Tamandua tetradactyla: one gene and its partners. The main gene of each other region encodes a partner of the protein of the gene in region 4 in a complex. Links are inferred from orthologs where the notes say so. Each region holds a gene or a part of one and is shown on either strand. Other genes may lie near its edges. The genes, in order: CMC1, TIMM21, SMIM20 and SURF1.

What was found.
Region 1: SURF1 (region 4) and CMC1 share a complex: the UniProt entries of both Homo sapiens proteins name them as parts of the MITRAC (mitochondrial translation regulation assembly intermediate of cytochrome c oxidase complex) complex. The link is inferred for Tamandua tetradactyla from reciprocal best matches to the Homo sapiens genes SURF1 and CMC1.
Region 2: SURF1 (region 4) and TIMM21 share a complex: the UniProt entries of both Homo sapiens proteins name them as parts of the MITRAC (mitochondrial translation regulation assembly intermediate of cytochrome c oxidase complex) complex. The link is inferred for Tamandua tetradactyla from reciprocal best matches to the Homo sapiens genes SURF1 and TIMM21.
Region 3: SURF1 (region 4) and SMIM20 share a complex: the UniProt entries of both Homo sapiens proteins name them as parts of the MITRAC (mitochondrial translation regulation assembly intermediate of cytochrome c oxidase complex) complex. The link is inferred for Tamandua tetradactyla from reciprocal best matches to the Homo sapiens genes SURF1 and SMIM20.

The regions. Positions count from the first base shown.
Region 1 is NC_135341.1:60,023,908-60,031,613, forward strand, and holds the start of CMC1 (COX assembly mitochondrial protein homolog), read right to left. Parts: upstream 3,015-7,706; 5' UTR 2,854-3,014; coding exon 2,835-2,853; intron 1-2,834. UniProt on the Homo sapiens protein: Component of the MITRAC (mitochondrial translation regulation assembly intermediate of cytochrome c oxidase complex) complex, that regulates cytochrome c oxidase assembly.
Region 2 is NC_135344.1:8,310,523-8,317,470, forward strand, and holds the start of TIMM21 (mitochondrial import inner membrane translocase subunit Tim21), read right to left. Parts: upstream 3,019-6,948; 5' UTR 2,615-3,018; coding exon 2,314-2,614; intron 1-2,313. Other genes in the region: FBXO15 (F-box only protein 15), read left to right, coding at 3,493-3,635. UniProt on the Homo sapiens protein: Participates in the translocation of transit peptide-containing proteins across the mitochondrial inner membrane.
Region 3 is NC_135345.1:26,179,700-26,186,811, reverse strand, and holds the start of SMIM20 (small integral membrane protein 20), read right to left. Parts: upstream 3,022-7,112; 5' UTR 2,890-3,021; coding exon 2,781-2,889; intron 1-2,780.
Region 4 is NC_135328.1:133,183,522-133,191,025, reverse strand, and holds the start of SURF1 (surfeit locus protein 1), read right to left. Parts: upstream 3,003-7,504; 5' UTR 2,983-3,002; coding exon 2,941-2,982; intron 2,789-2,940; coding exon 2,737-2,788; intron 1,421-2,736; coding exon 1,287-1,420; intron 1,183-1,286; coding exon 1,100-1,182; intron 360-1,099; coding exon 177-359; intron 1-176. Other genes in the region: SURF2 (surfeit locus protein 2), read left to right, coding at 3,097-3,174, 3,269-3,423, 4,103-4,206, 6,320-6,502, 6,678-6,832, 7,387-7,470. UniProt on the Homo sapiens protein: Component of the MITRAC (mitochondrial translation regulation assembly intermediate of cytochrome c oxidase complex) complex, that regulates cytochrome c oxidase assembly.

The DNA of each region.
Region 1 (7,706 bases), on a different chromosome or scaffold from region 4:
ATGAATTGTAACAAATGTAGCACAGTATAAAGCAAGGGGTTAACAACAGGGTGGTATATAGGAACTGTGTAATTTAAGCATTTTTCTTTAAACCTACATCTTCTCTAATAAAAAATTAAAAAACAGTCAAGTAGCAAATGTGAACAAACCTAGGCTTCAACTTATGAACAAACAAAAATGAGGCTTTAACAAAAAAGAGCCTAGCTTTGATGTATTTATATTCTTAAATTTACACAGGCAAGAAAATATAGAAAAAGTCTTGATTCTTGCTGTTTCCACTTTCTTACCTTCCACTCTTAACCCACTCCAATCTTGCTTCTATCCCTGATTTTGCTGAAGTCTCCAAGAATCTTTATGTTGTAGATTTGACCTCCACCATCTACTCAGTTGATAAAGTAAAAAGTCTGGAAATTATCCTTATTTCCTCCCTTTCCTTCACCATCCTAATCCAAAGCAACAACAGATCCTGTCCATTTCTCCTTCAAAACATAAAATGAATCTTACATTTCTCTCCATTTTTTCTAATGCCATCCTATGCCAAAATGGTAACATATTTAGCCTAGACTACTACTACTGTCTCCCTGCTTCCATCATGACCCCCTTCAATCTATGCTACCACTGCAGCCAGCACACTTTAAAGACATAAATTATATAGTGTCACTGCCCTCTGTAAAAACCTTCAAAGGATTTTGATAACATCAGAAAAAATCCAAATGACTTATCATCATGCTTCCAAGGCCCTGCAGCTTCCAGCTCCTGCCTATTTTCCCACGTGTATGACAAAGAGCAGATTAGATGACTTTGAAGATCACTTTCAGTTCAGAAATACCAGAAATATACGGACCTGAACTTTCCTTATGGATCTCCTCCCTACTCTGGCCCTCATTCTAGTTCAATACTTCAAGCATTTGCTACTTCAACTGCCTAGCATACTTTGCCTGGCTCCTGACGTGGTTGCTTCCTCTTATCCTTCAAGTTTCCATTCATATGACACTTCTCATAGAGCTCTTAACTATCTAAAGTAGCCTCTCCTCAGCATCTATCACATGGTCTTGCTTATTTTCTTCATAATGTTTACCACAATCTGTAAAGGAGGCATAGGGGTGTTGTTTTCTTTCATCTATCAAATTATTCTGAGCAAGGATCTTCTGTGTTCTATATACCACTATTTCTTAGGACCTAGAACAATACCTGCAAATACTGAACATTCAAAAAGTATTCGTTCAATTAATGAATATTTGAATGGTAACTTGGCCTATAACACTGGACTGTGAATAAAATTACCTGGATTCTATCCAGACTTGGCTCTACTGGCAATTAGCTGTGTGGCTTTGGGCATAACAAGAGATTGCAGGAGATTAAGAGTGACTTGAAGGTACGAGAGTGGATACAAGTATGAACATTTTTTTCTAAATTTCCTTATCTGTTTAAATTCAAGAATATGGATGTTTTGAAGCTTTTACCCTCTCTGAGTCTCAGTTTCTTCATCTGTATGAGAAAGAGCAGATTAGATGACTTTCAAGGTCACTTTCAGAAATACCAGAAATATATGGACCTGAACTTTCCTTACTCCTTAATTATATCCCTCTCACACTCAACAGCAAAATGAGAGTATTCACTCTGCATCTAAACATTACACAGTGCACTTTAATTCCTATACCTCTGTTCATTCTGCTACCTCTTCACCACTGGAAATTCCATCCTTCAAAGCCCAGATTAAATGCCAACTGCTTAATAGAGCCTGATCCAATTACCTACCCTAAAATTAGTAAAATGATATGCTCCTGCAACTCCTTTATGCTTCAGAGTACTCCTTCATCTTATCACTGACTGGTAAATTAACCTCTCTGAATCTCAGTTTCTTAATCTGTAAAATGGAGACAGTATATACCACGAAAGGTACTACTGTTGGATAACTGAGAATACTTAACGGGCTGGAAAAGAGTGAAATAAATGTTTTACTTCTGCACGATACACAACTTTCATCCTCCTTGAGGGCCACTAAAGTGTCTTTTTCATTTATGAATGGCAAAGCCATTTCACCTCCTAAAGCTTTGGGGTTCCGTATCCATAAAATGAAGGAAATGGACTAGGTCAACTGCCTCGCTCCAAAAAATGATGCTTCATATCTATACATAAATAGCTTAAAGCAAAGACATCGCAGGTGTGCGTTTGCAAGGAGGGTGTCTGAAGTGCAAATGAAACTCCTGCTGCAAACAGAGGTGGGGAAGAAGTATGAAAATTAAGTACCATTAAGACTTAGGGAACCTTTCCCAAGAAACTGACTTGCCACAGTGACTATGTCCTCTAAATTGGGGTTTTAAAATTGGGTTCCAAGGATAAACTTGGGGGATGTTAACTCCCGAAAAGGAATGCAAAATTGTGCATCTGCAGGAATAATGCAAATTTTTTCGAGACGTTAAGTGTCTATACTAGACATCAGATATTTAAAGGAGACTGTGCCACCCACCCCCCCAAAAAAATACAAAGAAAAAACATAAAGGAGACTGTCCCAGAGGGCGAAGTACAGGATGACGATGAAGAAATCAGCCGCGTTTAAGAAGAAAATGTAACTGGACCAGAGTTTAGATCACAAACCTAGATTTCCTCAGTTCCCTAACTCCAACTCCAAGGCGCGGGAGAACGAACCACAACCCTAAGTAGGAGGCAGGACCGGCCAGAAACCCTCAATCAGTCGCCTGGCGTAAGGTGGTGTTCTGCGGAAGCTGTGCAACCCCAGAGCTCGGCACCTTTCCCAGGCCGACCCCCAGAGAGCACGCCCGCGGCCTGAGACCCCGGGCCGAGGCCCCTCAGCAACCCCCGCTCCCCGGTACCTGCGGGGTCGAGCGCCATCTCAGCGGGCGGAGGAGGTGGCAGCCGCTTGGCGGCTCCCGGGCAATGGGCGGGGAGGGGAGGGGCCTGGTCCCAGGCGCACGCAGAGCCGCCCTAAGCGTAAGAAGGAGCGCCGCGTCCTCGGCGAAGCTGGGCAAAGTTCTTTTCTCCCTTCTCTAGTTCCTACTTCCGCCGCTCATTGCGCCTGCGCCGTCTTGGGCCCGCCCCTGACCCTCTTACTCCCGGGTGGAACGGACTTCTCACCGGGAATGACCCCGGGCAGGGGGCGTGGCCGGCTGCAAGAGTCTGTCTAAATCCGAGCTCTTCTCGTGCCTGCCTTCGAAGAAGCAAATGAATTACCCTGTTCCTTTATTTATTTTTTTTTTTTTACTTAACGTACTTCATTCATTTCATGCCTGCCAGTTTGCTAGCTACGGTTCTGAGTACTAGGGGGAAATAAGTGAATAAAAATAAGGTCCCTTAAAAAAAAAGAAAAAAAGGAAATAATGTCCCTGTTCTCAAGGGGCATAATGTTGGCAGGGGAGTCAGACAAAAACAACATGCTGTTAAATGTGATAAACGCCACACACGCGAGAGGTGCACAGCGTGTTCTACCATAGAGGTGGAATGGTGTGTGCGGTACCATTATTTCTTCCTCCAAAACAGCAGGCTATGCCTCCCCTAGAGGTTAAAATAAAAATCAGGACGCTAAGGACACCTCTCGTGAAATAATATCCTCTGGGCCTACAGTCCGTTTTCAGTGGCAATTACATTCTCTTAAATCCCGATTCTGTCCATTAAAGCCGTAAGTTTTGTGAGAAAACTAAAGGAAGTTTATGGCCGCCCTCCTATCGACCTGCAGTTGCCCTATTCCGAGTAGCAGTAACTTTCTCGATGGCACTGTGCACATCCCAACTCACTAACCAGCTTTCCGAAGTGCTTCCTTGTCAAATCCACGTTTAACTAGCTCGAGCCTCCAAAGGGTGAAGTGCGGCCGGGGACAGATGGGACAGATGTTTAGAAAAACAAGGAGCAGCTGTTTTTTCCCTGCGAGGGATTTAGGACTTTCAAAATGATCCCCTCCCCACCTACCTGCAGTGCCTCCTCCCCTACTGCTGCTTCCGCCTGGTCAGTTGGCAGAAAAGCTGACACAGTTGAGCAGGGCTGGGAAAGTGGGTCTCTGCTCAGCAGGTCTTCTGTTTAAGGGCCTATGCGGGCATAACGGGCCTTATTACAGCTGTAGGTTGAGGTGCCAAGGTGCAGAATTAGCGTTTCACTCAGTCAGGCAAGAAATCCGGTCCTTTTCCTTGTGTGCTTTATAAATGTGCTGTAGAAACACCTCGAAACTCTTATTTTTCTGGAGGTAAGGGATTTAATTTAGAAAGCAAATCTTTTTGATGCGATGAGGCGGGGTTGTAGAAAACCACAAGCCGGACACCTCCACTCAAGCAATTAAAGTACATCGAGATAAAGTGGAAAGCTTGAAGAGCTTGGGTCCAAGAGACTTGGGTACCTGACCTTGAATTCTGTATCATGACCTATTTGTGACGTGAAGAAATTTGAGTGTTTCTCTGGACTTATGATTTCTAATTTGCAGGGTTGCTGTGAGGAATGAGTCTGATCTAATGCACCCAGTTTTGGTCATTTGATGATCCCTTCCATAGTTTGTGCCATAAATATCACTTAAGCATTATAATTTAACATTTTCATTTAAATTAACACACTTTTAAAAAACTTAAAAGGACACTATCTACTTTAGGCTCATCCCAAACAATAACATCTGTAAAATCATGGGAGTTTTGTGTGTCCAAGAAAATGGGTGGCTAGACAAAACATACTATGAAAAGCAATAGCAAAAATATCACCTCAAAGAGAATTTGGAAAGCCAGGGTAGGTATAAGTGAAACTGGAAACATTGAAAGAGGCTACATTCCCAAAGCCTCCAACGTTAGGCTGAGTGTTTTTAAATCTATTGTAATAAGCTATCAGGGGCTATTGAAGGTTAGCAAGTAGATAAATGGCATGATGTGCAAAGTGATGTTTTACACAGATTTTTTTGCAGGATGGATTCAGGTGTTGAGAGAGCCAGAAGATTAGCAGAACAATGAGAAGGCTATCGCAGTAGTTCAAGCAGGATCTGATGAGAGTGTAAACTAGGATAGGTAGAAATGAAATGAGAAAAGATGTGAGAGTAATTGCAAAGGAAGAATCTATAGCTCATCACTGAACTGAGAAAAAGGGACATGGAGTCAAGAAGGATTCTCTCTGTGATTCCTTTCCTTCGCAACTGAATACAGACAAATGAGAAAATCATGGCCATGTGCACTTTCATGCCTCAAATGATCTCTCCTAGAGGGCAAAACAGAGAGGTCAGTTAGGAAGCAGTTGCAGGAATCCAGGGGAATAATGACACTAGTTGAACTCCCGTACAGCCTGTGAAGGCAAAGAGAGATGGGGTATTTAGTATGTAGACCGTACATTAAAAATAATAGGAATGAATAAATACAAACTTACATACACATATATATTTATTAATCTAATATCCATGGAATGTGCAAATAGAAACAAATATCTTAATTGTTTATCAAGTCAGTTCTGACTGGATCTAGCATTCCTTTTTTGTTAGCTATTGAAATCCAGTTAGTTTTCTTTTTTAATTGAGATTCATCAGTCAGCCTCTGCCTGCTTCCAGTTCTGCCCAGCATCAGAAGTAACAATTTTTCACCTATAGCTCTGTTCTACCGTGTCCTTGAGCCAATGATAATTAAGTTTGGAAGAATATTAGAAGTCACATCCCTACTAGTAAATCGAGTTTGGAATGAAGTATTGGTTATAAGAGCACTATCCAAGAATCCCCAGTGGGTCCTGCCTGCTTTCTGAGCTGCATGATTTAGCCCTATCCACAAGGCCTAAGCCCTCTCCAAGTAAACACAGTTTGTATGAAATTGACATTCAAGTTCTTTACAAGGACTGGAATCCTTATGTGAATCCCAACTTACTTGGCTACAGTCCTAAAAACCTGCCTAGTTTTAGCCTTCCCCCAAAGCAACATACTTTGTCCCTGTTTGTCCTGGTGATTGAATAGGGTCTCCATCAATCTGGATCAGTCCACCTATTGGTGACTGTGGTAGTTAAATTCAGTTGTCAACTTGGCCAGGTGAAGGTACCTAGTTCTGTTGCTGTGGACATGAGCCAATGGTACATGAACCTCATCTGTTGCTCATTACATCTGCAGTTGGCTAAGAGTCGTGCCTACTGTAATGAATGATGTTTGAGTTAATTGGCAGGTGCTTAAATGAGGCAGCTCAACATAGCACAGCCCAAGCAGCTCAGCATACCTCATCTCAGCACTTGAAGCTCAGCCCAGGCTTTTGGAGATGCAGAAAGGAATCACCCCGGGGAAAGTTGTTGGAACCCAGAGGCCTGGAGAGAAGGCCAGCAGAGTTCACCATATGCCTTCTCACGTAAGAAAGAACCTCAGTTGAAAGTTTGCTGCCTTTCCTCTGAAGAACTATATGTCAACTAAATAAATCCCCTTTTATTGAAAGCCAATCTGTCTCTGGTGTGTTGCATTCTGACAGCTAGCAAACTAAAACAGTGACTGAATCATATCCCTCCCAAAAGATCTAAGGTGTATGAACCCATTTGTACATAGGGCCTTTGAAGATGTTATTATAAGTTAAGGTGTAGACTCATTTATGAATAGGCTCTTTAGAGATCCTAGTTAGATGAGGCCAAATTGAATCAGTGAAGGCCTTGATCCATACAACAGGAGTCCTTATAAGGCAGAAGAAATTTAGATGCAGTCAGTCAGTAGAAGCCAAAAGTCAGAAGTTAGATAATGAAGCAAATTGTCTCATAACAAAGGCAGAGAGATGCAAGTGAAAGAACCCAAAGGATGACAGACAAGCCAGCACTAGAATGCTACAGACTCAGAGAGAAAGCATGGCTGTTGAAACCTTGATTTTGTACTTCTATCCTGCAAAACCATGAAACGATGAATTCCTGCTCTTTAAGTCAACTTATTTTATGGTATTTGTCATAGAAGCTCTAGCAAACTAAGACACCACCTTTCTACCTCAACAGCTCCTGTAGGTCCTTCAAAGCCCACATCCGTTAATCACAACATCCACTCAATTCTCCTTTCCTTACTTAATATACGTTTATTTCATTTACAAGCCACACTGTCACAACTCTTAAAGTCTATTCACTTTTGCATAGATTATTACAACAGCCTCCCAACTGGCTCTCTGTTTCTAGACTTTTCCTCCTCCCATCCCATCTCTCAAATCCATTTCATCCACAATAGTGCTTCCCTTTAACAAGGTTCATAAAACTCTTTATAAACCAATCCCGGCTTACTGCATTATGCTTTCATCATAAGCCTCCTTGAACTGTGAAATTTCTGCCAGATTAAACTATTTGAAATAGTTTATTAAAATTTAAATGCAGATTTTTCTATGCATTATCTGAATAATACAGTTGAGATTCTACTTAACATTAAAATTTGAAACCAATTGCCTAAGTGTGTAGGGGAAAGATAGGAACTTTGGAGCTAAACAATGGTAAATGCTAACTTCTTCACCCCAACTTTTGCCTTTTAACTTCTGTATTGAGTATAATTTATATACAGTAAAAAGCACAAATTTCTGTACAGCCAAATGAGTTTTTACATATGTATACACCTTCAAACTACTATTCAGGACAAGATATGAAATATCTTTAGTAGCCCAGAAGGTTCCCTCCTGTCTGGTCCTCATCAAACCCATCCCACAAAAGTAACCACTCTCCTGACTTCTGTGGACAATGATTAGTTTTGCCTGTTTTGGAACTTTATATAAACATAATTATGCACCATGAAGTCTTTCATATCT
Region 2 (6,948 bases), on a different chromosome or scaffold from region 4:
AGATGTGATTAAAAAACAAAACAAAACAGAACAAAACACTGCATCTGCCAAAATCTGTGTAATTCATGGGACTGATTCAGATGATAAAGGCCACCACAGAGCCAATCTCTTTCTCAAGGTTCAGTAGTAGAGAGAACTACAATGAGAATATTCCATTCCATTCTCTATTTTTTTTATTTAAAAAAAAAATTTTATTTAAGAAAACAAATACACTCACAACCACCAGTCATTCTCTATTGATGTCACAAAATATGCTTAATAAGTATTCTGCCAGCTGTGTGCCGAGACCCAAGTTGAGAATACAATGACAACTATGTCAATAAGCTGTCATACTCTTTCCTATTACCTGGCTCAGGCCTTTCACTTCAATTGCCCTGGATTCCTGACTGCCCCTGCACCACATTCACCCCTGCCTTGCTTAGGTTATCTGGCATACAGCCACAGTGCAATTGCAAGTCATGAAGTTGGGCAGGTCCAAGCAGCTTCCACTGCCATATAGAAGTGGACACCTATGACTGGGCCTCGGCAAGGGCAGAAGACCTCACTCTACTTTGCCAGCACAGCTCCCCCGCAGCTCACACGAATGGGGTCCCATGACCGGCAAAAGAGGAGCAACAAGGCCAAACTTGGTTCATGGATGGGCTGGCTTGCTATGTGGGAGCAAGATGAAAACAGACTGCTTCTGCATGATTGTTTCATTCAGGGGTGGCTCTGAAAGACGGAGATGAAGGGAAATTGTTCCAATGGACATTTCTGGTCATTCACTTTTTTTGGAAAAGTAAGTAAGTAGCCTGAGGTACAAATATATTGGCTGTTCCATCAGGGACTTGGAAAGAGAAAGACTAGAAGATAAGGGAACAGGAGATCTGGGGGAAAGGCATAGGGATGGACCCATGGGAATGGGCCCAAAGCATATGAAGTTCACTGAATCATGTTAATGCCCACCAGAAAGTTTTCACTATGGAAAAGGTACTAAACCACGGATACAGAACCTAGCAGTTTCTGTCATCCCCAACTCATGGGCTCATGAACACAAAGCTACTAATCGGAGATGTTTATTGAGTCTGAACTACAAAGTTTTCCATATTGATAATTACCCAATGTATCTATTTTCAATCTATTTAATCACTCTTTTATTCTACGCTGTCTAGTACTTTTTCTATGTAGCACAATTAATCTTTTTTTCACTCTTCGTTTCATGTCCTGTAGCTATTTTCTTCCCAATTAAGAGGTAAGCTATTTCCATATAGAACTTCCTTGGCACAGCTATCAGAACCTGTGCTGGTTTGAGACTATAGTGTACCCAGAAAAGCCATGTTCTTTTTCCTTATCCACTCTTGTGGGAGCAGATCTACTATTTATGGTGGTTTCTTTTGATTAGGTTGTTTCCATGGATATGTGACCTACCCAATTGTAGGTGGGATCTTTTTGATTAAGTTGTTTCCAAGGACATGTGTCTCTTCATATTCAAGGTGGGTCACTTACTGGAGTCCTTTAAGAGGGAACTGTTTTGAAAAAATTTAAAACTGACACAGACAGAGACATTTGGAGATGCAGAAAGAAAACATCCCTGGGAAAACTGCTTGAAGGACCAGCAGACACCAACCACATGCCTTTCCAACTGACAAAGGGTTCCACACTCCATCGGCCTTTCTTGAGTCAAGGCATTTCTCCTCTGGATGCCTTAGTTTGGATATTTTTATGGCTTTATAACTGTAAATTTGTAACTTAATAAACTCCCTTTATAAAGCCAACCCACTTCTGGTATATTGCATTTCTAGCAGCATTAACAAACTAAAACAGCACCCATCCCAGTACAAAGTATAGAGTCGGTGGAAGCTCATCTTGTGAACTGCTGTCTTGAAGAACACCAGCCTGGATATTAGGAAAACTGACACAGGAAATATATGCATTTAATTTTCAGTTGTGTGGTATTGCGGAGGTATGCCTGGCACATAAAAGGAAAAGTTCTAAATTCTACTTGAAAGAATCATGGAGACTCAAATGAGATGAAATAACATCTGGCAAATTTCCTTAACTAAAAAGTGTTATGTAGCTAACACAAGTTGAGAAAAAATTTTCCAGATGTAATTCAACAAGTTCATAACAAATTCAGTCTCAACTTTCACATCTGAGTTCAAACTTGAGGAATAAATTCATTCTCTCTGATTCTAGATTGTGTTTAATGGGTTCTACCTTTGTGTGTGTGCGTGTGTGTGAACTATTTTTCAATTTTTAGCTCTGAATTTTGTGTAAAAAGGGCTTCATCACGTTTGTTGACGAGCTGATCATTACTGGAGTTTTCCTTTTTACCTTTCTGTGCCGTGGAGACCGCAGGTCCTTCGCTCTGACTCCTCTGCACAGACACTTGTTTGCTGCTGTCCTCCTGTGCCCTCCGCGGACTCCATCCCTGCGTCCAGATGTTTTTCTGGGTCCCTCCAAGGGTACATCCAAGCCGCACAGGTTTCCTCTGTTCTGGCAGCGCCCATCTCAAGGTGGGCCCAGTCGTCAAGGCAGCGTTCTGAAGCACAGCGTGAGGCAAAAACACTCGTTTCCCCGAGGACCTGCGCAGCCTCTCCGTATACTGTACGGCGCGTAGAAAACTCCACATCATGTTCACAGACGGCGGCCCCGCTTAGGCAAACCGCTAACTACAATAAACTTCACAAGCGACTACACACCCAACCGGCCGTTTACGTAAACAAAGATGATCTTCCACGGCGTGTGCGGTAAAATGTCGGCTCCTGCAGTTTACACTAGGAGGAAAGTCTCTGCAGAGAAGTCGACGTTCACCTTCCCTTCTCATCAGTCCTTTTTTCACTGGAATTATAACGCTCTGACTAACCTTCCCCGCTGACATTCACATTCACCCAGCCATGCCTTCGCGAAGTACCTGGAAACGCACAGGAGTCTGGGAAGAGTAGTTCGATAACGTCGCTCCTCACTGAGGCGCCTCAGTGGGGAAGGCATTGAGGACTATATTTCCCAGAATGCAAGGCGGGCAGGGTGCGCGCGGTCCCCGCCTCCTCCCAGGATCCCCCGCGCGGGCTGCCTGCGCTTGCGCCTCACAATCCTGGCGCTGCCTCCGGGCCTAGTCTGAGCAGATCTTAAATCCTTGCTGCCAAAGTAGCGGTTTTACACTGCATGTTCTAGTCACCTAACTGGAGAGGTCTGGGTAAACTGGGATAGTCTCAATTTTAATTGTGGCTGGGCCGTTCTCTCTGGCAGTCTCAGGCAGCGCCTCAGGCAGCGCGAACCAGCAAATGGGAAGCGATTAGGCCCGCCAAAAGCCAGACCCGCTTTTCAGCGACCTGCGGTGCTTGACTTGCTCGGGCAAGCTGTCAGAACGCTCTGGGCGTGGGAAAAAAAAGGGTCCCAGAAGTTTCTAGAATAACGCTAGGGCTGCGTCATTAAACCGCGCGGGTCATTGCTTGGCGGCCGCTGTGCGTGCCGCATTCCTGCGCACGCGCGTCGGGAAGGCGCCCAGTCTCCATGGCGACCGGACGCGGCAGGTTCCATCCACAGCCTCAGCGCAGCCCCAGACTGGGGGCCCTAAGCCGGCCCCTCGGGGGTGTTGGTGTCCCGACGAGAATCGCAGTAGAGGCCGCCACGTGCTTTGGGGCCACTTTGTTCAGGTGATGGTCAGGAAGGCCCTTAGAGGTCTTACCGGTGGGCGTGCGCTGGAAGGGAGGCGCGGGGTGGTGCTCTTGCTTTGAGGGAAGGCCCTCTGGCTTCTGCACGGTGCGCCTCGCTGGTTATCACCCCAACTCCCCTTTCCTATTTGTTCCCTCTGGGAGATTCGCCGTGGCTTATTTTTTAATTTGGTAAACATGCACATACACACGTTTCTATGACATAAAAATTGTCAATTTAGCGATTTTTAAGTGTACAGTTAATGGGAGTTAATGACATAAAGTGTGCAACCATCACCACATTCCCCCAATTTTTTACATCACCCCCAATCCAAAACCCTGTGCCCACTAATACCTCCCATTCTCCCATCCTCTCTCAGGCCCTGGTAATCTTTCATTTATTTCTTGTCTATGAATTTGCCTATCCCACTTATTTCATACTGAGTGTCCTTTTGTGTTTGGTTTATTTCGCTTAGCATGATGTTTTTAAGATCCATCCTGTGGTAGAGTGTGCATCAGAACTTCATTCTTTTCGGTGACTGGATATTCCTTTGGATGTATGATGTATACACCACATTTTATCTGTCCTTCTGTTGTTTCGACCTTAACTGCTGTGAATAATATCAAGTCCCTGTTTTCACTTCTTTTGGGTATATACCTAGAAGTGGAACTGCTGGATTATATACCTAGAAGTGGAATTGCTGGATTGTATGGTAGTTCTATGTTTAACTTTCGAGGAACCACCAGTTTTTTCTGGTGACTGCACCTGTTTGCATTTCCATCAGCAATGTATGAGGGTTCCACTTTTTCCATGTCCTCACCAACACTCTTTTTAAAAAGTTATAGCCATCCAAGTAGGTTTAAGTTACTATCTCCTTTTTTACTTTGCATTTCCTTAAAGACTAATGATCGAACATCTTTTCTTGTGTTTTATATTTGTGTATCTTCTTTGGAGAAATGTCGTCTCAAGTCTTTTGTCCGTGTTTTGATTAGATTGTTTTTCTTTTTGTTGTTGAGTTGTTGGACTTCTTTATATATTCTGCGCATTAAGCCCTTAGCAGATATATTATTACAGATATTTTCTCCCATTCTGTGGGTTATCATTTCACCTTTGTGATTGTGTCCTTTGATGTACAAATATTTTTAATTTTAATAAAATATAATTTATCTCTATTTTTTTATCTGGGCTTTTGATGCCAAATTTTAAGTCCACTCTTGTGAAGATTTGCCCCTGTACTTTCTTCTAAGAAATTTATAGTTTTAACTCTTAAATTTAGGTCTTTGATGTATTTTGAATTAATGTTTGTATTGGTATATTGTAAGGGTCTAACTTCATTATTTTGCTTATGGATATCCAGTTTTCCCAGTACTATTTGTTGAAAAGACATTTTCTTCCCTCATTGCTTGGTCTTTGCATCATTGTCAAATATCAGTAGACCATAGATTCACATCTATGCGTTTCTGGGCTGTCAGTTCTATTTTGTCCTTATGTCTGTTTTCATTACTGTCACATGTTTTAAAGTCAGTCATCTTTATCAAGATGGCTTTGGCTCTCTGGGACACTTGCAGTTCCATATGAATTTGAGTATTGGCTTTTACATTTCTGAAAAAAAAAAGACTTGGAATTTTGGTAGGGATTGCATTGAGTCTGTAGATCACTTTGGGTGGTATTGACATCTTAAAAATATTCAGTCTTTCAATCCAAGAACATGACAATGTCTTCATTTATTTATGCCTTCCTTAATTTCTTTCAGCATTGTATCGTAGTTTTCAGTATACAAGTCTTGTGCTTCCTTGGTTAATATAAAACACATTTTGTGTCCTGCAACTTTGACAAATTCTTTTATTAGCTCTAACAGTGTGTGTGTGTGTGTGTGTGTGTGTGTGTGTATTCTTTAGGGCTTTCTAAATGTAAGATCATGTCAGCTGATAATAGAGATACATTTTTTTCTTTTCCAATTGGAATGCCTTTTATTTTTTTTTTTCTTGCTAATTACTCTGGCTAAAACTTCCAGTTCTGTGTTGAGTAGAAGTGACAAAAGTGGGTTGTCTTGTTCTTGATCTTAGGGGGAAAGCTTTCTTTCGCTCACCACTGAAAATGATGTTAGTTGAGAGTTTTTCATATATGGTGTTTGCCATATTAAAGACGTTTCCTTCCATTCCTAGTTTGAGGTTGTTTTTTTTTTAATTATGAAAAAGGAGTTTTGCCAAGTGGTTTTTCTGTGCCAAATGAGGTGATCATGTGTCTTTTCCCCCTTAATTTTATTAGTGTGGTTTATTGCATTGATTGGTTTTCATATGTTGAGCCACCCTATGCATTCTTGGGGTAAATCCCCTTGGTCATGGTGTATAATCAATCCTTTTTGATATACTGCTGAAATCTGTTTACTTATGTTTTAGTATTTTTGCATCTGTATTCATAAAGAATATTGTCTATAGTTTTCTTGTATTGTCTTGTATTTCTTGTATTTGTCTGACTTTGATAACCGGGTAATGCTGGCATCATAGAATGAGTAAAGAAGTGTTTCCTCCTCCTCAATTTTTTGGAGGATTTTGGGAAGGATTGATTAGAATTCTTCTTTAAATATTTGGTTGAATTAATAAGTGAAGACTTGTAGACTTAAAATGTCTTTGTGTCTTTGTATCTAAAATGAGTGTCTGTAGACAGCATATGGATGTATGTTTCTTTTATCCATTTGCCAGTCTTTACCTTTTATTTGAAGATTTTAATCCATTTACATTTGAAATAATTATTGATAAAGGAGGTACTTCTGCCATTTTGCTATTTGTTTTTTGTGTATCTTGTGTTTATTTTTTATCTTAGTCTTTTGGGTCTTAATTTCCCTAATACTGCCCTTTTCGTATTTAGCTGATTCTTTGTGATGTACCATGTTGAGTCCCTTCTTTCCCTTTTTGTGTGTTTTATAGTTGTTTCTTAATGGTTACTTTGGTGCTTACATTTAACATCTTTAAATTTTAACAATCTAGTTTGAATAATACCAACTAAGTTTCAATAGTATATACACATTCTAGTCCTATAATTCTCTGTGCCTTCCTCTTTATATTATTATGGCATAGATTACATCTATATGCATCATGAGCCCATTAACATATTTTTGTAATTATTTTATGCATTTGCCTTTTGAATCAATAGGAGAAGAAAAGGAGTTACGAACCAAAAGTACAATAATACTGGCTTTTATATCTACCTATGTACTTACCTTTAACAGTATCCTTTATTTCTTCATATGGCTCTGAGTTACTGTATAATGTCTTTTCATTTTTTCTTGAAGGATTTCCTTTGAGCAAATTGTAG
Region 3 (7,112 bases), on a different chromosome or scaffold from region 4:
ACCTCAACAGTAACAGCATGAGACATGGGTACAGATTGAACACTCTTGTAAAACATCAACAGACAACCAAGGAATGACACCAGAACAAGAAAGATGCAAAAACCCCTATACCCTCCCAGAAGAATCATTAGATATGATAGCCAGAGAATTCTGCTCCCATTTAAGCAGGGACAATGCCCCCTCTGTCAGCAGGAAGTAGTTACAGAGACTGAACTCCTCCCTTCAGCATCCCTTAAGATTGAGGGACGGAATTCTCTGAGTGCAGAATGAGGCAGGTTAGATACGGAAGGAGGGAGGGGGAAGTGACCCTAAACCCCATATCAAAAAGCTCCTTTTGGCACACATATCCAGCCCCCACATACTTAGCCCACACACACCTAGCCTTTGCTCACGTTAGCACCTGAAAATGACCAATGAAAAGTACAGCTCAGCAATCCCTTATTAGCATTGCTAGAGTAGAGAGGACCCCTCCAAGTCCTTATAATGCAAGGATCCTGGCCTCAGACTGCTTCTCTTCCTTTGAGAATGCCTATGCTCATATTTGAGCATGAACCTTCGCTATTCAAGTTTTGAGCCATAAAAAAAAAAATAAAAACAATAAAACAATGAGTGAAAAGAGACTAAATAAATACAGGTTGAATGTGTTGAAATGAACTGAAGCTCTATCCCATGATGCAGTCATGAATGCCCCACCTGCACGAACCCGATTTACTACCTGGTCAGCAAACTCTGGGTTTTGCCCACGTACTTAAATCTCTTCATCTCACATTGCTGCCTATGGTTCCTTATTTTTCAAAAGCTTTAATGGAATGCTTAATATAAGTACTGTATAAGCACTACACTAGATGTTTCCCCACCCTTGACCTCATTACATTCACACAACAACCTGTAAATTCAGTCCTGTAAGCTGTACTGTTACAGATGAGGAAAGAGGAGGGGCTCAGGTTAAGTGACTTTAGGTCACCCACCTAGTAAGGGATTAATTCAGATTATTCTCAGCCTTACTCTCTTTTCTTACGCCCTTAGAGAGGTAATATGGTGCTATACTGTACTGATTAAGGGTACTGGTTCAAATCCCAGATCTGGGACTCATCAGCTGTGGGTCCATGTCCAGGTTGCTTAAGTTTTCCATACCTCAGTTTCCCCACATTTAAAATGGGAATGATGATCATATAGAAGCTACCACAGAGTTGTTTTGAGAATTAAATGACCTAACATACATATGAAATGCTTAGAAGAGCACCAGACAAACAGCAAAGTTTCAACAAGTATTCATGGTTTAGTATTACCTTCCAGCTATGACTTCCAGTAAACTTGGCCAAATAAATTAAAATTGGGTCAGAAAAGTGGGCAGGCAATAGGCTACCCTCCCCCCAAATCTGTGATAACCCAAAAGGTCTCCAGACGTATGTCCACCTCATGGGCAAAATCACCGGAGTTAAGAACTGATCAAACCTTTCTAATGGGATCCAAAGCAGACCCCCTTATCCCAAATTCAACTCTAGATGCTGTAATAAAATAGCCTGGGATAAAGACCCAGTAAAGGAGGTTGGAAATAAGATTAGGCAGAGTTTCTGACAGCCCCACTTTTACCCCCACAGTAGTGCAGGGAGATATGCTGGAGAGCAGAAAGTACAGAGGCCATTTCAGTCTTTGGATGATGAAAAAAAAAAAGCCAGGGAAATCTACATGTGTACTTAAAACACTCTGCCTCCAGAAACAAAGTGTTGTAGCCTTTGCAATGTGCAGTGCATTTACATGGAGCTTTCGCCTTCAAATCGCCAAGCTTTCAGCCTCCGCTAATATTCTCAAGGGGCAGGGTTAGCCTTCTTCCATCTACAAGATGATTCAGGTTTCCTGGAGAACAAAATGAGCCTCTAATGCCTAATATTTTTTCTCTGACAGATGGTTTCAGATATATCAAAGTGCTAATCCTTGCTGAGGTATAGGTCTCAGGGAAGGAGAGTTTGGCTTTTAGAATGATAGGACTTGAATGATTAAGGAGGAAAATTACTCCCAGGATATTCACCATTGTCTTGTGAGCAACTAGTTTAAAATGAAAAAAAGAAAAAAGAAAGAAAAAAAAAAAACCACAACAGTAGAATCAGGAAAAATATTAAGCGCAGAAAGGAGAAGAACTTAAAAAATCCAGGTTAACAGCTCAGGTTTGGAACATTTCCACTCAAAGACATCTTTAGGGGTGGAAATGAGGAACAATAAAAATACCTTTTAAGCTCAAGATCATCAGGGTTCTGCCTCCCCGCCTGACCACCACTCCTAGCTCCCCTGTGTGGATGAGGCTCTGGGGACAAAGCCAGCTTGGCATATTTGCCTTGCCACTTACTAGTTTTACCACATCTCTTAGTGTCTCAACTTCCTCATCTGTAAAACGGGGTGATAATATCAGCAACCAATCAGACTGTGGAAAATTAAAATGCATCGCCTAACCGGACACATAACAGACTTCTAGTGAACGTTAACTATGAGGATGACGTAGTATTTGCCGCCGACCTACTATGTGCAGACTCCTTTCACATACATGATTATCACGTTTGAACCTCCCAAGAGCCCCGAAGGCACTCTTATTATTCTCCCGGTTTTACAGATAAGGACGCTCAGGGTTTGGGAAGTTAAATCACTTGTCCACGGCCACAAAGCTGCACAGAGCGGGATTCGAACCCTGGCCTGCCTCCTTCCTCCGCAACAGGTGCAGCGGGCGAAGGGGAGGGCGTGGGGGTGACAGGGCTCAAGGCCGCCGCGCGGGGTCAGAGGTCACTCACGGTACTCCTCCAGCCGCATGAGGGGCCGGAAGTAGATGGGGTAGAAGGCGGCGCCGATCAGGGAGACAAAGCCGCCAAATATAAGCGCGGTGCGCAGGTTCCGGGACATGGCTCCGGGCAACGGGCTGCTCTGACCCGCCAAGCGCTCTTTAGTCTCGGAACCCCGGCTCCCGTCCGCCGGGCCGTGACCCTACTGGGAAAAGGTGGAGCGGTTTTCGCTTCCGGTTCGCTTCCGGGTCTTGGGGGCGGAGTTAGGAGGCCGGCCGGGGCTGGCCTGGAGTCGAGGGCGGAGCCAGGGGCGAGGAGGGGCGGAGCCAGGGGCGAGGAGGGGCGGGGCCAGGGGCGAGGAGGGGCGGGGCCAGGGGCGAGGAGGGGCGGGGCCCGGTACGCCCTCCACCGCCTTACACTCGCTCGCTCCCCGCGCAGGTGCGGTTTTTGCTTTGACCTTTTACCGCGCTTGGTTCCCGCATGCCGTCTCCTGCCTCCTCCTTCACGACTCCTCAGGTTTCTCCCTCACCTATCACCCTCCGAACCCCCTTTGTCAGGCCCTCCTTTACCAGCCACGCTCTCTCGTTCTTTCCCCAGTGGGCCTGTTTTGACCGGTGAGGGAAACACTGCTCGGCTGCGCGGCCTTGGACAGGTCACTTGGCCTTGTAGAGGGTAGTTTGTGGGAAACCCGGGGCCACTGAGACCCCTGGATCAAGACTTGCCTGGTGTTACTGACTGCGTTTCTCCCTCCTTTCCTCTCTTCCTATACTGCTCTTTGGGATGCCAGGGTTGCAATGAGACTCAGGCAGGGGTCAGTGCAAGGCAGAGCCCGCGGCCAGTCCCACCTCGCGGGCGCTGCCTTATTCTGTGGGGTGTGGGTCTCCCAGAACCGACATCTGCTTCCTCTTCCTTTGACCACCACCCCCCACCCTCTTCACCTCACCTCCCTTCCTGGCAGACTGCTCAGGAGGACTAAGATTCCTTGGACCTTCTCTCAGCCCCTTATACATAAGGATGATACCAGTAGCTGGGGTTGAGGAGCTAAGGAAAAATTTATTTTGATCCACCAGCATTGTTTAGCCTAAAGAAGATCTAATATATTTGAGAAATGATATGGAGAGCACAGCTTTCCTCATTTTTGGTAGTGTTGTAGTTGAATCACGCTACCATCTACCTCTGTGGTTCCAGAAGCATATAAATTAGTTGTTCGATCTGTCAGCACATGTATGGACTATTTGCCTTGCCCCAAACATCAGGCAAAGTGCTACAGGGACACAAAGATGGATCAGACGTGACCTTTGCTCTCCAGGATCCTTCTGCATGGCTGAAGAGACAGGACAGATAACTAATGACCTGATGGAGCTTTTTGAAGATGAGTGATATGGTTCAGAATAGGAAGATGGATGAGACAGCTGCTCCTCAGGCACTTGGAGGAGCTTGCAATGGTGCAGATAGAAGCCTTCATGGAAAAGAGTGAACCTGTGACACATACTTTATATCACATATTATGGAATACCCAGGGGGAGTGCACATTTGTCATTTTAGCAATCCAGCATCCATTCCCTTTTGACTGTTAATAATACCTCAAATATCTTTTGGTGAACCACTCCTCTCCCACTTTCAGTCCATGGGAGTGAGACCCCATCCTTACTTCTCCCAGCTCTAAGAGTTAAGCATTTAACCAAGCCTGGCCAAACTTCCTAACCACCACTTAGAGACTGAGAATGGACTCAGCACAGCAGAAGGAGAGCTGAGAGAGGAAGAGAAACCAGATGTTGAAGTTATATTTGGGGCCTCTGTATGGAGAGTGCCATAGGATCTGGGCTTCCTGGCAAGTTACCAGAAGCACCTCCAAGGCAGGGCACAGAACCCATGTGGTAAATAAGCCACCATCCCCTCCAGGGTGTTTTGCAAGTGACTTGTGGTTTATCTGTCCCTTTCACGCTGATCTTAAGACTTTAGTCTGACCAGCAAAAGTAATTAACTCATCTATACCATTTGTGCAGATTATTAGCATCATGGCACCAAAGAAAAAGCTGTTATTTATCACTTACCTGCCAACGAGTCCTACAAAAGGCAAGTTCATTTCTTCCATCACAGTGTTCTCTCCATTTCTGAGAAAACCACCCTCTTCGATTTTTATTTCCCCACTGACCTGTAAATTCAGACAACAAATACTTATTTTGTGCTTCCTCCAGGCAAAGCACTGTAAAAGATGCTTGGAAACACCAAAAGGAATTGGTCAACATTCATATACTTAATGAAGAGTCATTGAGCTAGGCCTTATGCGCCAGGCACTTTTCAGGGGCTGTTGGATGCAGCCGTGAGTAAAACAGCACAGTCTATTGTCCTTGTGGCATCTACATTCTGTTAGAGGGATAAGACGTGGCAGTGAATAGTAACTGCTTTTTGGTCACTCAGTGTCCCCAAAAACTGGCACCTGATTTGCTCTCAGGGGATTTCCTGTCATGTTGAAATTTTCAGTTGGACTATAAGTTCGGGTCTCCTGTACACTTCTAGGCAATATTCCTAATAAGAACTTGCAGAGCACTTGCCGTTTCCCAGTTATTACCATAGGTTTACTCGTTCAGCACTTAGCAACACCTGGGGATAAGTACCATTTTCAGACGGGGAAGCTGAGACATAGTAAGAAGGACATTCCCAAGGTCACATGGTAGAGTGGTTTAAAGCTGTATGTACCCCAGAAAAACATATTTTTAAAGTTAATCCATTCCTGTGGGTGTGAATCCATTGTAAGTAGGACTTTTTGATGACACGACTTCAGTTAAGCTATGGCCCAACACAATGAGGATGGCTCTTAATTCTGTTACTGAAGTCCTTTATAAACAGAATTAATACAGAGAGAGGGAAAGAAAACCACGGAAGCAAGCAGCTGAAATCAATGAAACCTGCAAGAGATGCCGCCATGTGCCTTGCCATGTGGCAGAGGAGCCTAGGAGTACCTGCAGCCGGTCTTCAGGAAGAAAGTTGTGCCTTGGTGATGCCTTGATTTGGACATTTTCTTGGCCTCAAAACTGTAAGCTAATAAATTCTCATTGTTCAAGTTGCCCCATTTCTTGGTATTTGCTGGAGTGGCTTAGGAAACTAAATTACATGACTAGTAAGCACCAGACCCAGTAAGCAGACAAACCCAGCTTGTCTGGCTCTGGAGACCTGCTCTTACTTGCCTTACAAAGTCAGCAAACTAGTGTTGCCTGTAGTTGCAAATGATCCATCCTGGTTCAATTGTTCTTCTCTCCCAGAGATAGGAATCATGATAATGATGACACTAGGGCAGATAGCAGTGCTGTAGTGGAGATGAGATTTTTGTATATCTCCCACTTGCCAATAATCCTGGAGCTTCCCTGGCTGTTTCCCTTTGCTGCCTGACTCTTTGATCATTTACTGTGTTCTGCAGGCCACTCCATATCCTTCCAGCAAACTCCCTTTGTGTTTAAGTTAGTCAGAGCTTGTTTCAGTTGGTGGCCACCAGGAGTTCTGATGGATGTAGAAATGAACATTACCTCCAACACATGCCATAGATGAAGCACTGGTGGCTGCATAGCTGTGCTAATGTTTGTGAAAGCAGAGGAAGTTTGGGTCTGGAGAAAGGCATTTATGCAAAAGGAGAAAGCATCCAAGGGATGTAGAGAAAGAGGATGCAAGTCAAATATGTCAAGAATCCTAGGGTGCATATTTTCATTTCATTCAGTAAAAAAAAAAAATTGATTTAGGTTCCTATCCAGCACTTTCTCCTTCTTCCTGAATATGAAGATTGAGTGCTGGTGGGGAGCAGACCGCCAGTGGTGTCTCTTACAGGGTTCAGACAGACATCAAAGTTAATCCACTCTCTGATCTAAGCAGAATGGTGAAGAAGGTTTCCTGGGACAGCAGCTCCACTAATTGTGGCATTGCAGCCCAACTGATGTATTTTTAGAATATTGTGGATTCCCAAGAAGAATCATTAATCTGTGCAGGAAAACAGACTAGAAACTTGGGGGATGGAACAGGGTGGGATTCTCTGGATGTGTACTTTTGAGAATAAGAGAATAAGTAGGGGAAATGTTTTCCTGCTTTCAGGGGGTACAATGACTTTCTAAGTTCCTACCCATCTGTATAAATACTTATGACTCAGATAAGTTTCTTCTTTGGTCTGTCTTTTATATGTAAGAGTATATCCCAAATAACCATCTTGGCTTATCTCTTGTCATATTATGCCCCTGCAGTTTTAACTAAGATCTTCATGACTAATAGAGCTAGGCCTCTAGGCCCAGCCTCCCTGCTGAACCCCAACCTCACATGCCTGAAGTATGCCTTCAAGATCAAGGCCTACTTACTTGATCC
Region 4 (7,504 bases):
TTAACAAGTAACAGAATTACAGACTTGACAATTCAAGGAACTGAACCTTTCTTGGATTGAGAGTTCCCCAATGTCTTACGAAGGTTGAGGGATGAGAAGAAAAGAATGATAATGGGTTTTCTGCCACAACTTCGTCACTGTGCCCTGGTATCACCTTTGCCATACCTGCTACTCACCCCAGGTCTGAGCAGTGGAAAGGGGTGACCACGTGGGCACCACTCTTGGCGGAGGAGGAGATCTGGCCGGCCTCCCGGGAAGGGTCCACCATGGTCCGTGGCATCATGTACAGTTCCTTGGAGTGGTCAAAGTGCCCCCTGACCCTCACTGGCCTGTACTCCAGATCTTTCAGTTCTGTGGAGCTATGTGAAAAGCATAAACAGATTTCAGACTAAGCAAGGCTGGACAGGAAAACAAACCCTCTAACGCTTATGTTGTACATTACAAACCCAAAAGAGCAGGACAAGGAGTCAAAAGGGAAGGCAGTAGGAAATGGAGGGACCTTTAAACCACAGGGTCTGCCCTCTAATAAGGATGGCTGAACCTCAGCTCCAACATTGCAATGCCATATGGGAATGAGGATCTGCTGCCAAACAGTCTACTTTCCCAAGAGAAGCTAAAAGTGTGGACTCCTGTGCAAAAGTGTTACATAAAGTTAGTAAAATATGTCAAAGCTCCATTTGCAAGTCAAACAATGGGAACCTTTATTGAATACAACGCTCCCTCTAGGACAGTGCTTTTAAATGATGTGGGGAGGACTATAATCACTTGGGGCACTTGTTCATAATACCTTCATGCTAAGACCTGCTTCCTCTGCTCTCACCCACCAGCTAAGAATCACTACTCTGGACAGCCATCAGCACTGGGGTGGGGACAGAGGAGGGCTTATGTACATGCACCTGACCAAAGGTTAAAACCAGGTGAGAAGGTTCTGAATAGATCAAGCAGCTTCCCAGTTCAGTTTCAGTAGGAAGCCCAGCAGAAAGACTGATCTCGAGGGCTCCCATCTGAGGGCAAACGGGGGCAAGGTGGCTAGTAGAAGTCAGGCTTCTGCTGCTGGCCTCAAGTGAGCCCCATTCAGGGTAGGCAGCCACACACTTACTCTGCGGGCAGAGATATGGGCTCCGCCATGACTCGAGATTCTAATTCTGCAATCAGCTTCAGCTTCCACTTCCGACGTTGGACCTTAAGAAACAGCATCAGCAGACTCCTGAGCAGACTGCAGGGAGGCAAGAGCTCAGAGGACTGGTTCCTGCCCCCCTCAACCCCCGACCTAGATACCACTCTACCTGCCATGTTCCCAGGCCAAAGGCTGTTACAGGGATGAGAAGCAGGAGCCACCGGAAAAAGGAGTCATCCTCTGCTTTTGTTGCAGGTGCTTCTGCTGTAGAACTGCCACACCTGCTTAGCCTCCAGGCCACCCCTAGAGGAAGCAAAAGAGCTGGAAAAAGTGCTACACTAATGCAAAAATGTTAAAAATGGAAGAGGGAGGCATATGGGAACTCCATTTTCTTCATGATTTTTCTGTAAACTTACAACTTCCCTAATTGGGATAAAAACAAAACAAAAACCTAGGTAAAACTGGATCATTCCCCACCCCAGAACATGCGTAGAGTTGCCTGTATAAAAAACAACCCCTACCTGCAATTGAAAGTATATGCCTTTGTAATTTAAAAAAGAGAGCGTTGGGCACTGTTGAATTGACAATACTGGCACGGGGTCAGAAACCCCAAAATAAATAGAACTGGGGCAGAAATTTCTTAAGAAGACACCACCAATGTTGCCTGAGAATGTGGAAGAGGAATGAACAGATCAAAACCTGCAGTTAAGAGCCAACGAGCAGCACTGCATCCAGCCCAGCTCTTAACCCAGTGCTCAGCACAGCAAAGGCTCAGTAAATGTTTGTTTGACTAAATAAATAAGACCCAGGACTTAGTTACAGCTCTGCCACTTGACCCTGAGTAAATAAGTGACCACTTCATGCCTTTTTGCTCATGAATACACTAAAACGTATTCTATTGCACTAAAATGCACTAGGGATTTGCTTGCTCAAAAACATTTATTAAACAGCTAATGTGCCAGGCACCACTGGCTATTGTATTATAAAGAGAAATAAGTATCAGCCATAAACTCAGGACAGTGGTTTACAAAGCTCTCTTAATAGCTTTTCTTTTTCATTGTTCAACATAAATTTAAAGATGTAACAATGTACACAGAAGACACATTTAAGCTCTCAGAAGGCAAGTCCCATCTGCTGAAAGCATTATGACATTCAGATGACAGAAAAGCAGGCCTGCAGCAGGCTGGCAAAGTACCCTCTCCTATTTGTACAGAGCACTTTCCTGGGAACAAAGTGCCCCTTGACCTGGAGGGAGAAGCAGTCTGGAAATGTGGCGTTTACATATGCTTTAGTTTGAAGCTCAGAGGCCAGGTTCCAATCTCAGGTGGGCCCTCATTAGTTGGAGCCTCATCTGTAAAACTGGAATAACAGGACTCCCTCCCCTTGATTGCTGTGAGGACAAAGCACTCGTTATGGCGCCGGGCACATAATCGAGGCTTGATAACGAGGCATTTAATCTAGAATGTTATTTCACGGTGAAACCCTTTCACACGGAGCTTACATTCAGTCGGTGGTTACGGAATTTATTTTAATCCCCAGGTCGCCCCTTTAAGAAGAAGGGGCTGAAAGTCGGGTGGTTCTTCCTCGGTCCCTAAATCCACCCTGTGCCGAATCCTCACCTGGGCACGCGGGGACCCCCAAGAGGCGTTTCCTGACTGCGCCGGCCGGGGCCTGCGGAGACAAGGGATGACCTGGCTCCCCTCCTACGGCCGCCGCCTCCCCCTCCCTGGCGCGCAGCCCGCCCGGGTCCCGCCCGCCCCTCGCTGGGACCCGGTCTCATGCCCACCCCCCCGCCTGCCCCCGCGCTTCGGCCCAGCGCACACCGTGCGCAGCAGCAGCCCCAGCCAGCTCGTCGCCGCCGCCATGGCACCCGGCGGCCCGCGAACACTTCCGGGGCGCGGGAGCTTCCGGTTCCGGGTGGCCGCCGAGTCCCTCCCCGCCGCGCAAAACCGAAGCTGCCGGGCTGCGCGCTGCGAGCCATGGTCGATCTCCACGCCGACGTGCGGGCCTTCCTGCGCGAGCATCCGGCGCTGCGGCTCGAGCCCGGGGCCTCCAAGGTCCGCGGCGGGGCAGGAAGGGGAGGCGGACGGACCGGGGGACCGGTGGGCGGCGGGGGAGGCCCCCTCTGACGGCCCCGGGCCCCGCCCGCAGGTGAGGTGCTCCCTGACGGGCCACGAGCTGCCGTGCCGCCTGCCGGAGCTCCAGGTCTACACCAGCGGCAAGAAATACCAGCGGCTGGTCCGCGCCTGCCCGTCCTTCGACTACGCGGAGCTGAAGCCGCACATTGTGCCCAGCACCAAGCACCCGTACGTGGGCAGCGCCGCGGGGAGGGCGAGGGCGGCGGGGCGGGGCGCGCAGGCCGGTGCCCCCGTCTCCCCAGCACCTTTCCGCACGGCCGCTGGCACCCGGCTGGCCAGCGCCTAAGTGCCTGGCCGAGTCCAGAGCCGGGCCTCGGGCTCCGGGGTCAGCGCTTCTCCCAGGAAAACCAGTTCTCCAGGGGGAGGGTCCCTGGGCCCGGGGAGCATATGTCCTGTGCTGTCACGCGAGGCTGTCGTGCGTGTCCTGCCTGCTGCCGAGGGGGGCATGAGGGTTGTGCTTCGTCTCCTGAGATGCTGAGTGTTGGGTTTCACGTCTCCCCTGGCTTAGCCGAGAGCACTGGTTGACAGGAAGCATCACAAGGGAGACTTCGGTGGTGATGAGTTCTCCCATTTGTTGAGCACTTTGCCAGCTCTGTCAGGTCGTGAATAGGCATTCTTTCTCCCTGGAATATTCCAGGAGGCTCAAGTCTGCCTATTTTATAGGTAAATGCTAAAAGGCTCCATCAGCTGTGATTCACCTCTGCTGCGGGGTGGACTGGGTGGGGAGTTCTTGCAAGGCCCAGTGTCCAGGCTGTGCTGCAGACTGTCCCATCAGCCACTGGGGGTGGCCGGGAGCCCTCTGATGACCTGTCCCTGTGCCCTCCAACTGTACTTTGCCTGCCCTCAGGCACCAGATGTTCTGTAGGCTCACCCTGCGACACATCAACAAGTCCCCAGAGCACGTGCTGCGGCACACCCAGGGCCGGCGGTTCCAGAGGGCGCTGCGCAGATGTGAGTAGCCTGGGAGGGCGGGGAGGAACCCTCCATCAGAGGGTGCTTAGGACACAGCCTGCCTCTCAGTGCAGATATCGGGGTGACAGAGAGAGCCACTTCTCAGAGACAAAGGTGATATCTTGGGCATTCTTCCATGATATTTTGCCAGTGCCCAGGTCCAGTCCAAGCACAGAGGACAGTGGACCGTGGTCCTGCCCCAGAGAGCTTGGTTTAGTAAGCACGGGTGCAGTGTAGGAAGCAGACTTGGAAGTCTAATTGCAAGTTGTGGCATGCCTGCAAAGAAGGCGGTGCTAGGCAGGTGTCCAGAGGCCTACCTTGGACAGGGTGGGAAAGGATCTCCAGGGTTTCTCTTCTGGTGGAGACCTGAGGGACATGGGGCTAGGGCCACAGTGCTCCAGGGGCAGGAGAGGGGCCGGACAAGGTCTGAGGCAGAAGAGATTCAAAGGACGGCCATTGTGGCAGCGTGCCAGGGGGCTTGAGGGACCGGGTCACAGAGGGCCTTGGAGGCCGTGGCCAGGACCACCAAGGGATGGAGCATGATCTGCTTCGATCCTTCCGGCTTCAGGTAGATGGGAGTATCAGTAACCAAGGCAGCAGAATGGAGTCTGAATAGCAGGTTTGTGGTGAGAATTAAGGTTCCTTGGGATATGTTCGGTCAGGTCTATTATTGGAGTGTCCTTGAGACACTCCAATACCACAAGTCATAGAGGCCGAGGTGGTGCTTGTGTCCCCCATTGGGGTGAGCATAGGAGGGGAAGGTCCGAGCACTGCAGAGAAGGGGCCACATGAGGGGGAGAACCCCATTGAAAGTGGTGCCTCAGGGCCTGAGGAGGGTCTCCGGGAAAAGGGGTTGATTCCATCAACTGCTGGTGAAGGGAAGGTGAGGACAGAAATATCGTGAGGTTTGACCATTTGGAGGGCCCTGGCGACCCCAGCGAGGGTGGTTGTGGTGGCTGTGGTGGCGTTGTGAGACAGCCTGGGGGCGTGAGTGAGCATCCCGGGAGCCTGCCACGTGGGGTCAAGGATGGAAAGCCAGTCTTTGCCTGAGTGTGAAAGCAGAGGAAGCTGCAGGAGGGTCAAAAAGGCAGGACATGGGCCTCTCAGGAGCAGAAAACAGGCAGCTTGCAGAGCACGCTGTTCCAGATGAGAGCCGGTGGTGGGTCTTCTCCAGGCATGCTCAGCTGCTCTGGGGCATAGGAAGGAGGAAGGTGGGGGCTCAGGGCTGAGGTTTTCGCAGTGCGTTCAACAGGACAAGAGGGAAGGACCGAGTTGTAGTGATGGACCAGGGGCGTGAGACCAAACAAGGAGGAAGTGAGGCCACTTTAGGACAATGGTCTGGAGTCAGAGACCTGGCCGAGGATGTCCGAAGAACAACTCCAGGTCCGTGTGCAGCTTCTGGTGGTGATGGGGCCTGGCTGCCTTGCCCCAGGGAGGTGTAGTGTAGGCTGTGGTGGGGTGGAGCGCAGGCACCTGAAGGTGGGACCGAGGCAGGCAGGGAAATTAGAGACCAGGGCCTTGCAGGACTGGCCAGTGAGGGGTGAAAGCAGGAAGAGGGAGCTGGTGTGTCCTGGTGCCCAGGCTGACCTAGTGCTGCACCCCTGTGAGGGAGCCACAGTGGCCCCTAGGGGGCTGTCTCTACCCAGCCTCTGCTCACTGCCTCTCCACACCAGGGACCCAGCTTCCCTGGGTTGGCAGCATGGAAGGCATCAGTGGGGGTCCTGGTGAGGGCCTTCTGTGGGAGACTAATGCGAACTGCTTTCAGCCAAAGGTGGGCCAGGGCGAGTGGCAGGCCCGACTATGCTGGAGGACCACACGTCCGCCTTCCCTTGGGACAGCTCTTCTTGTCTGTGCCTGTTTACTGCTCCCAGCCTCTATCTCTTGGCTGGAACGAGGGATAGGATGGCAATGGCCGCATGGGCCCATGCTGACTTCTGGGCTCCCATTACTCTCCCTGCACACTTAGCAGGAACTGAGCCAAGGATGTGTGCCTGCCACTGCTCTGAGCTGCCCCAGTGGGTAGGGGTGCCAGGGCCCTGTTCACAGTCTGGTTGGGGATGCACAGGACTCGAGGGAGCCACCAGGTGCCAGGCAGCATGTGCTTACCTCCCAGATGAAGAGTGCCGGAAGCAGGGAGTGGAGTTTGTCCCTGCCTGTTTGCTGCACAAGAGGAGTAGGAGGGAAGGCCAGACAGATAGCGATGGGTCGCTTGGCAGAGGAGCACACTTCTGGGAGCCCGCATCCAGTGACGAGGAAGGAGCCCAGAGCGATGACAGCATGACAGATTTGTACCCACGTAAGCAGCATAGGCCCTCTCTACCTGGCCAGGCCCAGTACAACTTCCTCTTCACACTTCACTGTGGCTTAGTCCTGGGGTTCCCACCAGCATCCCTGGCTCTGGTCTGGGCCCTTCTCACTCCTACTGCATGTCCATCCCTCAAGCTTCAGCGTGCTCCCTCTGCTCCTTCCAGCCGAGCTGTTCACCCAGAAGGCCCCAGGAAGGACTGAGAATGGGGACCACACCAATGTCATTTTGATGGCAAGTGAGGATGATGCTGGGGAGGAAGGCACTGGGCTCGCAGGGGAGACTGGGGTGGCCCCGGCGCTGGACCGGAAACGCGGGAAGGTGAGTTTCAAGTTCTTTGAAACAGTAGGTCCCCAAGCAAATGGAACCCTGAACTTAACAGTATACAAAGAAAACACCAGCCAAGGCTGCTATGATTAAGCAAAAGCTGTTACTTTGCTTAGCGCTTGCCTGGAAGCAGCTACAAGGAGCCCTGGCTCCCTGGACAGGCTGAAACCACCAGTCTAAAAGCAAAACCACCTAATGGGAGTTGGGATTTGCTTTTCTTTGCCACTGTAGCAGAGGATCCTAGAGAAGAAACCCCATTACTAGATGCCATCCTTTGCAGTTGGCAGGAATGAAGGTTCTTGTCCCCAAGGATAAATCAGTGGGGTTAGGCTAGAACGGGTCTTGCTGCAAAGTTCCAAAGCGCCACTGGCTGCCCTTTCCTGTGTCCCCTGGAGCCATTCCATCCAGCAGCTAAGCTGTGGCAGGAAAGATGACAACTGTCACACTAAACTCTCTGCATGGGGGGTGGGGGAGCCCTGACTTCACAGAGCCCAACATCTTAGGATCAGAAGGGTTCTAACAAATAGGATTTTCTGTTTATGCCACAGAAGCAGTCCAGTTCATTGAAGAAGAAATTCAAAAGCCATCACTGCAAACCTAAGAGATTTAGCTCTTTGAAACAGCTGGGTTAATACAAGATAGCTGGAGAAACTCTTTAGCTCTTGT